2 linked regions of the Canis lupus familiaris genome follow. The protein of the gene in region 1 purifies or fractionates together with the protein of each later gene. This does not show direct contact. Links are inferred from orthologs where the notes say so. Each region holds a gene or a part of one and is shown in the gene's direction. Other genes may lie near its edges.

What was found.
Region 2: the proteins of NMNAT2 (region 1) and FBXO45 purify together in Homo sapiens (co-immunoprecipitation; 3 studies listed by BioGRID and IntAct, with this or other methods). This does not show direct contact. The link is inferred for Canis lupus familiaris from reciprocal best matches to the Homo sapiens genes NMNAT2 and FBXO45.

The regions. Positions count from the first base shown.
Region 1 is NC_049228.1:16,510,211-16,517,594, reverse strand, and holds part of NMNAT2 (nicotinamide/nicotinic acid mononucleotide adenylyltransferase 2), read left to right. Parts: intron 1-2,053; coding exon 2,054-2,155; intron 2,156-2,310; coding exon 2,311-2,378; intron 2,379-4,705; coding exon 4,706-4,808; 3' UTR 4,809-7,384.
Region 2 is NC_049254.1:30,323,134-30,331,006, forward strand, and holds the start of FBXO45 (F-box/SPRY domain-containing protein 1), read left to right. Parts: upstream 1-3,135; coding exon 3,136-3,438; exon of another isoform or gene 3,439-3,458; intron 3,459-7,873. Other genes in the region: WDR53 (WD repeat-containing protein 53), read right to left, coding at 2,299-2,303. UniProt on the Homo sapiens protein: Component of E3 ubiquitin ligase complex consisting of FBXO45, MYCBP2 and SKP1. Functions in substrate recognition but also plays an important role in assembly of the complex.

The DNA.
Region 1 (7,384 bases):
ATTTGGTTTAACTGCTCTTGGGCAGGAGCTGGACTTCGAGAGTGTTGAAAGATCCTTGGATGATTCTGATGTGCAGCCAAATTTGAGAACCAGTGCCTCGGGTTACCTTCTGAGTAGTGAATACCAGTGTAATATTCCCAATGCAAAAAGCTGTGGAGGAGGAGGTGGATCTACCTCCAACTTCTTATCCCGCCTCTCCCTAACATTCCTGGTTTATAGGGTAAATGCTTGGTGCCAGTTTCCCATCTGAACACTACCAATAGATGCCTGTGCTGTATAATGTTCTGTATCTTCCAAACAGCATGATCCAGTGGAGGCTCTGATATATATATATATATATATATATATATATATATACATATATACACACACACACAATATATACATATATGTATATATATATACATATATATACATATATATATACATATTTTTATAGACTCTGATATTCTATACCTAGCTTCTAACTTCTCTTCACAACTTCCATCCCAGGGCACCTTCAACCAGTTTTTTGTGTCAGCAATATCAGAGTTCCAGCTGCAACTAGCTCCAGTTATAAGCAATGGGAGAAGTAGGGTAAAGGTGATGGAAATACCCAAGGGCATGTGTACACATGCACGGGTGCACACATACATACATACTCGAACATGATCAATGAATCAAACTGAGGAGTGGCATTCTGCTCAGGTAGAAATTGTCCGATAGAGAAAAAGTGGCCACAGTGCTCCATAGTGTCTGTTTTTGTGGTACTTATTCAAAGGAAAAACTTGGGCCCCTTGCCACCACAGCAGGTCTTGCACAATGAACTGTGCTCCTTAGAAGCAACTTGTCTCCCCCCTCCTTTCTCTCCCCATCCAGGATCCTTAATTGGCAAGATCTAAACAGCAATATGCCCGGGCTAGATCCAAGTCTATTAAATGCCATAAATTTCAGGTTTTTTGAAAATAAAAATTGGCACAAGGTTCCAGAAAGCAACTTGGTATTATGTCTTAAGAGTTTGAAATATGTTCAGTTTATATCCTTTCATCTAATTATTTTACTTCTTATCCTAAGGAAACAAGCAGAGATGTGGTAAAAGATTTATATATAAAGATCTTCAACCAAATGTTATGTATACTTGCAAAAAATTACTTCCTCAGAAGTAACTCTACACATTCTGTAATACAAGATTGGTTTAATATATCATATATATCATAGTACAGACAATGAAATAATCAGACTGTTAAAACTTAATTTTTTCAAATAATTTTTAACAATGTGAAAAAATGCTCACAATTTCATGCTAAGTAAAAAATACAGATAAAATAACATTTTTGTGTAGAGAAGAAAACACTGGAGAGGAATACATGATGTTCAGAGTAGTTGTCCAGGTCGTGTGGTTGTGATAGATTTTTTTCTCCTGAATTTCCAGAGTTTGTACTGTGTCTATAACCAGAAAAAAATCATTTTATTCTTAATGTAAAGTCTTCATTTCTCATTATGGCAGCAAGCATAATAAATAAAGAGGCTGATCTCAGAAGTGACCTCATAGTAATCTTCTTCCCATCACTGCCATGCTCACACAGGCATTCCAAGCCCTTGCATGCTCCTCATGACCCTTGAGTCCCCAACAGCTTTGGCATGGGTGACCCTTTCTCAGTTGCGTGGCTGAGAGCTGGGGGTACGCTTGCTGGGCAGTGGGAACTGTGTCACCTGTGAGGGCGTCTACCGTGTAAAGACTATGTGTCATTCCTATTACTTTTAGCATAATGAACTCAACAGGAACCTCAGGAATTGGAGAGCTCTTGCCCAGACATGCAAGAGCACATTGATTCATTCGGTCTAGAGGTATTTATTAAGCATCTTCTGTTGTGCCAGGCAAAGTTCCCACTCATTCCACTAACACTGTTACAGGTTATTACTTGAAAGAGCTGACTGGTAGGGTTGAAAAGGCAAGCGTAGCACCAGAGCTTGGGGTTCCATGTGGAAGATCATTCTACCCGCTAAGTGGCTGCTCAGTAGGGGTTGGAGTCATGGTCTCACCCAAGGACACTCTCTCTCTCTGTTTTTTCAGATGGAGGTGATCGTGGGGGACTTTGGGATTGTGGTGGTGCCCCGGGATGCAGCTGACACAGACCGAATCATGAATCACTCCTCAATACTCCGCAAATACAAAGTGAGTCCTCCACCTCCTTGCTGCTCTAGCTGTATGGTGCGTTCCTTCTCCCAGGGGCCTGCGGGGGCAGGGGGATGGTGTGCTGGTGGAGTGAGGGCACCCGAAGAGTTTCAGTGTGAGAGGCGGGCAATCTACTTTTTCTGCTCTGTCCCCAGAATAACATTATGGTGGTGAAGGATGACATCAACCATCCCATGTCTGTTGTCAGCTCAACCAAGAGCAGGTATGTTTGACAAACTGCCAGAGGAACCTTGGTCAAATGGGCTTACAAGTTTTAATACAACTTTCCTCAGTTCCAGCTGACCCCTACATTTGCTGACACCTGCTGCCTGATATTCAGCCTTCTTTGGGGACTTTATGTATTTGTCCCTAGTCATTTATATGTTTTGGGGTATTTTTAGAGAGAGAGAGTGAGCACATACACGAGCAGTGGGGGAGGTGCAAAGGGAGAGCGCAGAGAGAGAATCTTAAGCAGGTTCCACACACAGCACAAAGCCCAACATGGGGCTTGATCTCACCATCCTGAGATCATGACCTGAGTCCAAACCAAGAGTCAGACCCTCAACCGACTGAGCCCCCCAGGCACTCCATCAGTCATTTACTTTTAAGGGGGGGGGGTGTCATTAGCTAGTTTTAGTTGGTTTGCAGGAGGAAGAGGATATTTTTAATTTGAGACTCTTTAGTTTGAAGTGTTTATAAAATACTGTATTAATAAGAGTACAAGCTAAGCTGCATTAAAAAAAGAGCCCAAATAGTCACAATTTAAATAAGAGAAATGTTTACTTCCCTCTTACTGAAGTCAAAAGAGATTGAATCTCTGACCTCCTCAACATGAAGCCCCTGTCTGTTGGTCCACAGCTCCTGTCATGACTGCTGGAAAGAGCAGGAGCTTGTCTTTAAAAAAGTGACTCAAAGTTGTACACATCGCTTCCCCCTACATCCTACCAGTTCAGCCCCAGTCACAAGGCCATACCTTGCTTTAAGGGAGCCTGGGAAATGGACTTTATGTGCCCAGCTTAAACTCAGGTTCTATTAAATAGAAGAAGGACAGAATGGATGCTAGGGGCCAGGTAACAGTCTCCACCCCAAATGGAACTGTCCAGTAGAATGGCGACATATATGAATATAGAGCTCTGGAACTGGAATAGAACTGACAGCCATGAGCACAGAAGTGTAAGTTACGTTAAGAGTGTGGCTGAGCTCACAGGGAAAGTCAATAAGAAGGGCAGCATTTAAAAGAAGGCTAAGGAGCCTAAGGCTAAGGAGCAGTGCTGGCCCAAGAACCAAGGCAGGAGAGGCACAAAGATGTACATCACTGTCATCTCTGTCACATATTTCAGAGAAATGAGATGGGTCCAGCATTTTTAAAGATCCAGTGGACTTCTTCCCTGGAAGGTGATTATGTATTAAAAGAGTAGCATCAAACTGTGTGGTGAGAGTTGAAACCCAATGACAATGGCCAGTGAGGGGAGAGGAGAGGGATTTGATTCCAAACATGGCTGCACAACAAAATTACCCCACAAACGTACACAAGCACACAAATTCCTGTGTCCTCTTCAATCCTACCAAATTGGCATCTGTGGTGGATGAGCCTAGGAATCTGCTTCCTGGGTGATTCTGATCAAGTTGGGATTGGCATTTGGAAACCATGGGTACAGACCACTTTTTCAAGAAGCTTCCCCATGAGCTGTGCAGGGAGACACTTAGGGACCTCGTGTGCTTGCAAGATCAGGAGAGTGTATGCACTGAAGAGGCAGCGGGCCAGCCTCTGAAGAGGTCTCACAGGGCAGGGCTCACATGCCTTGCAGAATCTACATTTCTGGAAAGAGTATGTGCATTTTTTACAAATAGCTCCTTGGGGCCTGACATTCCCAAGACTATCATAGGAGCAGAGAATGGGAAGCAGCCAGACCGCAGCTAGAGGACAACTATGAAGAAGCCGAAGCTCATCCATCACTGGATCCCTTTCGTACCTGGAGGTACCCTCCTCCACAGCCACCGGGGCTTGTGAGAAGCTCCTCAGAAGAGGTCACCTTCTTCTCTGTCAGGGTTCCAGTAGGAAGGAAGAGAAGTGGTCAATCAGGAGATGCATGTTCCTGAGACCACGATGCAGAGAAACACAAAGGAATGAAATAGGAGTAGCTAACCCATTTAAATACCTACTGTGTGTTTGGGCTCTTCTAAAGGCTCTTTGCATGACTCGTTTCATCCTTTTATGTTTTTAAAAATCCTTTTCATAAGTGAAGGAGATTGGCCCACATATTACCCTCATCTTACGGAGGAGGAAACGAACGGATGGGCTTCGATAACCTGCCAGGGGCGCCTGTGCGAGGAAATGGCAGAGCCAGGATGGAATGGAGTCACCGGGGTCGGGGCGCAGTTCTGGGGCCAGCGAGCTTCTGCCCATTGGGGAACCTATGCAGCCTTCCTGCAGCCTAAGCAGAGGCAGGGGCTGGGGTGGCGGGTAAACCCTCTCCCTGAAAGCGAGGGCCAGGCCCTTGAGCCTGGGTCAGGGAGGGGGTCAGCTGAGCCCCGTCTCTTCCCATCCAGGCTGGCCCTGCAGCACGGGGACGGCCACGTGGTGGACTACCTGTCCCAGCCGGTCATCGACTACATCCTCAAGAGCCAGCTGTACATCAACGCCTCGGGCTAGCAGCCACCCGGCCCTCGGCTCCACTCTCCCCTCGTCCTCCGCCAACACACTGGCCCCTCCAGTCTCTGTCCCCTGGTTCCTCTCCTGCCTCTCTGTGTCTCCACTCCTCGTCTTGACTGTTCTCCCCACCTGCCGACTCAACCCTCCACGGTGTGGGGGACCTGCAGAGAACCACAGCATACCCTACTCAGCTGTCATCCTCGGACAGACTCCCCTCTGGTCTCCGGGTTGGGGGTGGGTGAGGGAATAGGGGTGGGAGTTGGGGGAAGTGCAGTCCCCGGAGACGTGCTGGTGTCTGTCCCCCAGCATGCTCTAGAGAGCGGCTCCAGTGCCCGTCCTCCCAGCATGCTCTGGGGAGGCGGCTCTGGCTCTCGCCTTCCCAGCATGCCCTTTACCATGAAGGGCTATGTTTCTTTCTTTTCTTTTTCTTTTTCTTTTTTTTTTCCTTCTCTTGCGTTTTGGTTTGGTTTTGTTTGGTTGGTGTTGGTGTTGTTCACTCCTCATAGAATTTGGATGAAACCCGTGTCCATGGTTCTTTATGTTTGTAGTCTTGATGCGCTCCTGTGGTGTGAACTTCCCTTTGGATAGGATACCATGGCCAGCCTCAGCGCTCAGCACCTGCGTGACAGCCACACAGTAAGGAAGGCCAGGCCGCCGCCACCTGCCCACTCACACCCCACACACCCCCCCCGCCCCCCACACACACAGCAGGTGCGGGCCAGGCTCAGGACTGAGGCCTTCAGGTTCCAAACCCTGGGAGGCAAGTCTGGGAATAGTAGGGTTTCTCAGAAGAATTTGCGTCCATTTCCTTAGGTTCAGAAGACCATTTTCCCGATGCTCCGGGCCTGTGATCACACAGAGCCAGTCCACCCTCATATCCTGGTGGCATCTGTACGGTTCCTCCTTTGGGCTGTGACTGATGGCAGAGTTTGTTCTCTGCCAGCCCAGCGTGTCCAAGGAACCTTCAGGTCTCTACCTAAGCCCTTGGAGCTCATACCTAGCCACATTCCTGCATCTGAGAAGAATCGCATAGTCAAGGCCAAATCCTAATAATGCAGCCATTTCTGAAATAAAACATGCTAGGGATTCACTCAACCCTAGAGATCTTTGCTAATTGGAATTATCTCTTGCCTGTGTGGCTGGGAGATTTTTCTGTCATGATGTAAGTCAAGGATGACCAAGAGCGGCTTGTTGCTCTAATGGGAATTGATGGTCCTTACCCATTCTTGCTGCGGTGATGCAGGTGGCACCCGAGGTCAGTTTCTTCTGGAAACACAGTACCTCGGTCTTGTTTCTGGAGCTGATCCTATCTCCTCCAGAGCCCAGAAACCACAGTCATCGTCTGAGGAAGTCCGTCTGGCAGGGGAGTGGGTTCAGAGAGCAGAGGTCATGGCAGGCAGGGCATTAAGAGCCACTAAGTTGTTTCACCCTTTTTGTAATTTCTTACCTTCCTCCGCTGCTCCTGGAAATGGTTTTGACAAACTGTTCTAGCTGTTCTGGTCTCAGTCATGCTCCGTTTTGAGAGCCAAAAGGAAATTATTCTCTTATGCTCTGTGTCTCTCATCTAGTCCCTGGCTCTTGGGTTTCCAGTTGTCTTCACAGAATGGGTCCCTGAGCAACAGGATACTTTTATGAAAATCTAGTACCAGTTATGGCCCAGGATGGGGGTGGTGGTGAGATCTGACATCAGGGACATCATTCTTCAGCACATATTTCATGTCTGTGACAGTCTTCCATAGCCTCCAGGAAAGGGAACTGGATTCAATAGAAGAGCATGTCAGAGTAGCAACCAGTAGAGTGTTATTCCTTTTGGATTATGGAAATAATCTCCAGAGGAGGGAATGAAGATCCTATTTTTGGTTCTCAGTGTTTGGTTAAGGATGGTGAAATCATAAATGAAAAAAGAAACAAAGCTTCAGAGATTAGTTGATTCAACATTCTCCTTTAAAAGATAAAGGAGCAGAGGTCCACTGGATTAAATGGCTGGTCTAAGGTCACACAGCAAGTGTAGAGCCTGAGAAAAGGATATTGTTTCCCTGACCCTTAAGGCTTCATATCACATGGTCTCTATCCCCTGGTTCCTCATGATACTGGCCACGTAACGTGTGGTTTCCACTCTTTTCAGCCTTTACCTGGCATCTTTCTTTTAAATTATGTCTCATCCAGCTGCTCCTGTATAGGGCATTGCATATGCGAGTCCGAGGGGTGGGTGTGATGGGGAGAAAGGCCAGAGCCAGGTTTCCCTCAGAAATCAAGAGATCTCAACAGCTTAGAGGAAATCCCAAATAGTGACCCTCTGAATCCAAGAAAGGATGCTTTTTGGAAGGCTAGGAAAGACCTCGAATGCGCGAGATGACACCTGGAGAGAGACCGACAGAAGAGTCCTTATCTGGGCAAAACACTCCCAGGCCAAGAAAAGAAATCAGGGAACCGGATTCCTTGGGGAATGTGACATTGTGAAGGATGTGAAGTTTATCTGTGATTGGAGTTTATTATGAGGATCTACACGAGCAGATCCGAGAGAAACCAGACATCTTTTGTCTGTTTGGTGTCCCCTGTTACTCTGCTGGGCTCTG
Region 2 (7,873 bases), on another chromosome or scaffold:
TACTGTAATTAGATAATAGATTCCTTCAACACCTAGTGAGATCATGGAGTGGGCAGGGAAAGGTGGGGTATCTTGAGAGCATTTTTAGAAAGGGTGGAGGGAAACATGGAAACTCTGGTCAGAGGGCAAAAGGGTATTAAATATGGGGGAAGGGCAAGGTCAGGAGGGTGATTTGTAGAAACAAAAGGATCCAGTCCTAAAGAAAATCTTTAGGTGGCTCAGTCAGTGAAGCATCTGACTCTTAATCTCAGGTCAGGAGTTTGAGTCCCGAGTTGGGCTCCACCCTGGGCATGGATCCTACTTAAAAAAAATCTTTTCCTATTTTGAAATTTTGCCTGGGCCACTTGGGAAGGGGGAGTACTTTGCCACAGAGGCACCTCAATGACTGGACTAGATTAATATCTCATCAGATCCTTCCTCACCTATACCGTGACTGGCAGGATAAATGCCAAAGTTGTTAATAACTGATGATCTCCAAATACTGCTTTAGTTATACTTCCATGTGCCCACATATCCTTTTCAAGTGTTATACCTCTAAGTCTGTTGATTTTGCCTGGTTCTTTGTCCCCTTCGCAGATGGACCAATTCTACTTATCCTTTTAGATTTTATTTATTTTTATTTTTTTATTTTTTAAGATTTTATTTATTTATTCATGAGAGACAAAGAGAGAGAGGCAGAGACACAGGCAGAGGGACAAGCAGGCTCCATGGGGAGAGCCTGATGTGGGACTCCATCCCAGGACCCCAGGATCTTGCCCTGGACCAAAGGCAGGCGCTAAACTGCTGAGCCACCCAGGGATCCCCTTCTTCTAGATTTTAAAGAAGGGCACCTGGGTGGCTCAGTCAGTTAAGTAAGACTCTTGATCTCAGCTCAGGTTTTCATCTCAAGGTCATCAGTTTGAGTCTTGCACTCAGTGTGGAGCCTACTTAAAAAAAAAAAAAAAAAAAAAAAAAAGACAAAAAAATTTAAGTGCCTTCCCAGACAAAATTAGGACATCCTTCTTTGGATGTCCTATAGTTAAAAGTTGAAAAATAAATAATGAGGGGCGCCTGGGTGGCTTAGTTGGTTAATAAGCAGCTGCCTTCAGCTGGGGTCATGATCTCAGGGTCCCAGGATGGAGCCCCCACCTTGAGCTCCGTGCTCAGAGGATAGTGTGCTTCTCCCTCTCCCCCTCTGCTCATGCATGCTCATTGTCTCTCAAATAGCTAAAAATCTTAAAAAAACAACAACAACAAAGAGAAAATAATGAATAAAACTCCCAAACTTGAGATTATACTAACATTCAAATAATATAAGGTAGTTACTATCACTATAGCAAGTCTAAGTTAACTTTTCTTCACATGGTTGGATTTTCCAAAGTTGGTTCAGATGTGGAAAAGCTGGATAGCAACCAAAATGATTGAAGGGGGGTCAGCCCGGGTGGCTCAGGGGTTGAGCATCTGCCTTAGGCCCAGGGAGTGATCCTGGAGACCTGGAATCGAGTCCCACATCGGGCTCCCTGCATGGAACCTGCTTCTCCCTCTGCCTGTGTCTCTGTCTCTCATGAATAAAAAAATAAAATCTTAAAAAAAAAAAAAAAAGATTGAAGGGCTGTGGTTATTAGCACTGGTCAAGTAAAGAATCTGGGTTACTAAACTGGGAGAAAAAAAAAAAAAAAAACAACAAAACACCTGGGGGTGAAAAAACATCTGGGAGGAAGGGACTGGCAAATAATCATCAAACACCATTTACCAGAGAGTAGAAAAGGTAGTAGCTGTTCTTTTAAGCGAAGGACTATAAATGTATTATACACGGCAGGGGAACTATTGGAAATATTTCTTATTACATACAGGCAACACAGTGGAGTTCACTACCAAGGGAGTCTGTGGACCCGATACTAATCACTGCAGAGTTGTCTGAGAATTATACAGAAGGGCAGCCCCGGGGGCTCAGCGGTTTAGCACCAGCCTTCGGCCCAGGGCGTGACCCCGGGGTCGCGGGATCGAGTCCCACGTCGGGCTCCCTGCGTGGAGCCTGCTTCTCCCTCTGCCTGTGTCTCTCATGAATAAAGAAATAAAGTCTTAAAAAAACATCATATATAAGACCCAGGTGAAGGAGCCTAACGCAGTGCCCGTCCACAGGATGCTCACTGCTTCCCTAAGCATCCCTTACAGGGCGTCAGACAGCTCTCGGCCGCCTGGAGAACGCAGTGCGACCCAATGATGCTTCAACTCCTCCGCTTCCAGGAGCCATCTAGCACCACAGCCCCCACACCATCCTCCCTCTTGGGATGTCTCATTATATCAAAACACGATTACTTCATCGGCCCACGAATCGGGTTAGCAGGAGAGGCCGGGGAAGGCCCCACTTCGTGCAGAAGAATGAAGCACCTACGGGCTCGCGAGCACTGGGGGCGGGGGCGGGGGGGGGGCAGGGCTCCTAACGACGACCCGACTTGCCGAACACGCGCTGGGACACGTGTCCTGAGAAGTACCGGTGCGAGCCGAGCGCGAAGGGGCCGGACCAGGAGGCGGCTTCAGCGGCTGCGGGTCACGGAGGCGCTCGGACTGCGGCCGACGGCGGCGGGGCCGGGGGCCGGAGGGCGAGGAGAGGGCAGTTCCGCGCGGGAGGGTGGATCTGAGGCAGCGGCCCTCACGGGGACACCTCACGGGGAAAGGGGCCCAGCAAGGCGACTCCAGACCAAAGCGGAGGACAGTCCCGCAGCCACAGCGCGAGCCTCCTACCTGCGCCTCCCGCCTCCGTCCTCGGCGCCCGGAGATGACCTCACTCGCCGGCGCGACAGTCACATCCGGGGCCGACGGGCGCCGCGGAAGAGCTGCGCATGCGCGCTCGCTGCGTGCCCTCAACCAGTATGGCGGAGCCCCGGGCGCGCCGCGGGCAGGCCGTGCGAGTCGGGCGGTGGCGCCGCCCGCGCTGAGCCGGGGAGGAGGGGCGGGGGACGCCGGTGCGGCCGGTGCGTCCGCCCTCAGGGAGGCGGGGCGCGCGGCGGACGCCCCCGGGCAGGGGCGGGAGCGGCGGAGGGCCGGCGGCCGGTTGAGAAAGGGGCGGCGAGCGAGGCGCGGCGTCCGCAGCCGCGACGACGGGGGGGAGCGGCGGCGGCGGCGGCGGCGGCCCCCGGGCCGGCTGGTGAGGCGATGGCGGCGCCGGCCCCGGGCCCTGGGGCAGCCTCCGGCGGCGCGGTGGGCGGCGCGGGCGCGGGCGCGGGCGGCGGCGGCGGGGGCCCGGGGGGCCGGCTGCCCAGCCGGGTGCTGGAGCTGGTGTTCTCCTACCTGGAGCTGTCGGAGCTGCGGAGCTGCGCGCTGGTGTGCAAGCACTGGTACCGCTGCCTGCACGGCGACGAGAACAGCGAGGTGTGGCGGAGCCTCTGCGCGCGCAGCCTGGCCGAGGAGGCTCTGCGCACGGACATCCTCTGCAACCTGCCCAGCTACAAGGCCAAGGTGAGGGCCCGGCCGCCGGCTGCCCGGGGCGGCGCCTCTCCCGCGAGCCCGGGAGCGCTGCGCTCCCCGTCCGCAGAGAGCCTCTTCTCTGCGAACTCGTGCTCCGTAACCCGCCCCACTTCCGCGCTGCACACTTTTTAAAGGGTCGGACAGTTGGCAGTCCCCGGTCCCCATCCATCACTGCTTCCAGCGTCCAGTCCTCTCCCGCGGAGACGGGCAGGCCCTCCCCGCCACCACCGTCCCCCTCAGTGCTCTTACCCCGTTTCTTGTTAGATCATCTCAGCTCCCTGGACACCGGCTTAGTTGCTAAGATCTTTGCTAACACCTCACCTTTTCCAGCCTCTGATTTGTGACTGTTTCCCCTCTCCTCCCTCCCTCCCTCCCTCCCTCCCTCCTCTTTTCGCCCAAGTTTTCTTTAATTCCCTCCATTACGTTTCAGGCTTATAGGTGAGTGTGGTCCTAGACATTCTGCTAACTTTGAAGATACAGGCTTTTTTTTTTTTTTTTTTTTTTTTTTTAAGATTTTATTTAGTTATTCATGAGACGCAGAGGGAGAAGCAGGCCCCATGCGGGGAAGCCCCGACGTGGGACTCGATCCTGGGACCCCGGGGTCACGCTCTGGGCTGAAGCGAAGGCGGCGCTAAACCACTGAGCCACCCAGGGATCCCAAGACACAGGCTTTATTTTTATTTTACTTTTAAAGATTTTATTATTTATTTATTTATTCATGAGAGACACGGGGCGGGGGGGGGGGGTTCGGGCAGAGATACAGGCAGAGGGAGAAGCAGGCTCCATGCAGGGAGCCCGACGTGGGACTCTATCCCCGGACCCTGGGGTCAAGCCCTGGGCAGAAGGCGGCTCTATACCGCTGAGCCACCCAGGGATCCCAAGACACAGGCTTTATTTTTATTTATTTTTTAAAAGATTTTATTTATTTATTAATGAGAGACACACACACAGAGAGAGAGGCAGAGACACAGGCAGAGGGAGAAGCAGGCCCCATGCCGGGAGCGCTATGCGAGTCTCTATCCCGCGACCCCGGGGTCACGCCCAGGGCTGAAGGCGGCCTAAACCGCTGAGCCACCCAGGGGGCTGCCCCACACAGCCTTTAATAAAACGTCCCCTACCGCCCCACGCGCACCACTGAACCGTCCTAATGCTGCCTTGTCCCCATGTTACTGGCTACTTCCCTGCCAACTTTCTCATAGTTTCACCTCTTGCTGCTGTGCCTCTTCTGTTCCATCTGTCTTCTAATGTGCTCATTCTGGTTTTGCTGCCTTTTTTCCTCCTAGATTCTTGGGCATATTCCTGCCTCCTTCATATACAAATAAAAATCTCAAGTAACAGGTTATGGTAGGGCTGAGAAGATTCTTCAGGCAATGTCCTATAAACAAAGGCCTTGAGGTTGAATTCAGTCGGATGGATAACAGCTCTTCAGTGTAGCAGTCACCCAGAGCATATAGGAGAGAGGATGAAGTCTGCCCTAGGATGTGTAAACATAAGAAATAACATTAATAACTAAAAAGGGTAGATACCCTTTTTGAAACTAGACTGCCAAGCAGGGGGGAGTTTTGTTCAGAACATTGCAGTTTTGTCCTATTTTGCCTAAAAACAGGTAGGCTTCATACGATTTATTTATTTATTTATTTATTTATTTATTTATTTATTTATTTATTTATTTATTTATTTATTTTTAAAAGATTTTATTTATTCATGAGAGACCAGAGAGATAGAGAGAGAGGCAGAGACACAGACCGAGGGAGAAGCAGGCTCTATGCAGGGAGCCCGATGCGGGACTCGATCCTGGGTCTCCAGGGTCACGCCCTGGGCGCTAAACCGCTGAGCCACCTGGGCTGCCCCATTTTATTTAGTTTTTATTTTTTCATAAAGCTTACTGTTTTTACTTATTTTGAATTAAGACCTATCTGTAACTGGTCTGTAATAGATATATTTACATGAGTCAAGATTCATTAAACAGTGTGTTAGGTAATGTGTTCATGTGAGTCAACAAGTAAAAGAAGCAAAATAATATCAGCAAAATGTCTTCCTTTTGCCCTTTTTGCCAGCTACCCAGTTTAGTTTCCTTTCTTGGAGGCAACCTGTGTTACCTGTTTATTTTGTATCCTTCCAGAGAGATATTTTGAGTTTCTTAGGTTTTTAACACTGTATATGTCCTTCTACCACACCTGTGATATGTACTAATCATGTGTTCGTTCAGATGTTGGGGAACTTTTCTTGAATGTCTTGAGGATAAAAAGGTTAATTCAAAAGAAGTTAGCCTATTAAGGAAGTCCTCAGTCAAGTAAAGGAGAAGAAAAATGTATAGTAATAACTAACACATGATACAAATTGCTTCTGTTAGAGATGTATATAAATACAGTATCTACTAGAAGTATATATATACACACACTAGAATTTCAGTGAAAGGAGAGATGTACAAGTTGAATGAATCTTGGAGAAGGTTTGAGGTTAGGATTATATTTGAGCTGAATTTTAGGATAGGGAAGGTTTGAACATTTTACTAAGAACTACTACCCAGAACAAGAGCAAGACAAGAAGAAAGCAAAGGCTCTATACAGCATCTATTTTTATTTAAAAAAAATAGTGAGTCCGAGGCACTGTGCTCATTTCTGCAGATGCAATGGTGAATAAAAACAGACATAAAACTCATGGATGCCTTGTTTGTGGAGCTTATAGTTTAATGGAGGGGGAGTGGATAGATATTAATCAAATAATCAGTTATAAAATTGCATCTGTGACAGGTACTATGAAGGAGAGGTGAGCAATACTCTGAATGTTAGTAATGGAGGATTTGACCTAGGTATGCAGGTCAAGAAAGGCTTTCTCTGAGGAAATACGCGTGATCAGAGACTTGAACAATAAGGCCAGGGGTGAGAAGAGAACCTTCCAGGAGGGAGAATGATGAGAATGAGGGACAGAAAATACATCAGTGTGGCTAGATCATAGAGAGCCAAGGTGAGACAAGTTTGAGAGAAGATGAGAGAGGTGGACTGAGGCCAAACTATAGGGAAGCCATTTTAAATTGTAAGCAAGAGGGGGTTTGGTGATGTGATTTTTTTTTTTTTTTTGCATTTTTAAGAGGTTATTTCTGACTTCGATATAGAGAACAGATTGGAGGAGGACCTTAGAAATACAGGTAGATCATTTAGGAAGTGGGTAGTAGAGGAGATGGGGAGAAATTTAGGAAAGATTTAGGAAGTAAAATCTACAGGACTTGGCAATAGATTGGAAATAGGGGTGAGGGATGGGGAGGTGCTAAGAATGACTTCTAGATATCTAGATTATATAATTATGGGAATCACCTGGGCTAGATTTAGGAGGCATAGCAAAGAGTTCAATTTTGGTAGAGTAGAATTTAGTGTTTTTGAGATATCTGGGGGATTTCAGATAGGCAGTTGTTCGGTTTGGAGCTTAGAGGAAGGGCTAAAGATATAAAAGGATCTAGTGAGATTGAATTGAAGAAGTGGGAAATATGATTATAAAGGTAAGTTGAAACTAGATATATCTTGGTTGTTCTTGGCATATAGCCTTCAGTGTATAGTTTGGGCTTTGTTCTACTGTTGTAAACCATAGAAGTTTGAACAGAGGAGTGATAAATAAGAGCTGTGCTTTAGAAAAACTAGGCCATAAGATGAATTGGACAGAGCAGGGGTTAGTACCTATACCAGAGATACTTAAGACCTGAACAAGGGAACCCTGGGTGGCGCAGCGGTTTAGCGCCTGCCTTTGGCCCAGGGCGCGATCCTGGAGACCCGGGATCAAATCCCACGTCGGGCTCCCGGTGCATGGAGCCTGCTTCTCCCTCTGCCTGTGTCTCTGCCTCTCTCTCTCTCTCTCTGTGTGACTATCATAAATAAATAAAAAAAAAAAAAAAAAAAAGAAAAAAGACCTGAACAAGCATGTAGAGGAGAGAAGAGAAAGGCTAGGAAAGCTATCACAAGGTACAAATCTACATAGGTGGACAGCTGACTGGGGGTGAATGAGATGAGGAAGGAGGAAGAGTCAGATAGGATTTCCAGGGAGCTTATGTAACTAAGAGGAAGATGGAAACATGCGTGGGATAGCATAAAACTGGAAAGTATTTGGAGTTGCCAGTCTATTTAGGATTTGTCTTCTTTTTAAAAGTTCATATTTTACATGTCACCAAGGAACATCAATTATTCCAGTCATATTTAGTATCTAAGTATATATAATATGGTCTCTAATTTTCAGACCTAGATTCTGAAGTAGGTCTTTTTTTTTTTTTTTTAAGATTTTGTTTATTTGTTCGTGAGATACCCAAAGAGAGAGATAGAGAGGCAGAGACACAGGCAGAGGGAGAAGCAGGCTCCATGCAGGGAGCCCGATGTGGGACTTGATCCCAGGACTCTAGGATCACGCCCTGGGCTGAAGGCAGGTGCTAAACCACTGAGCC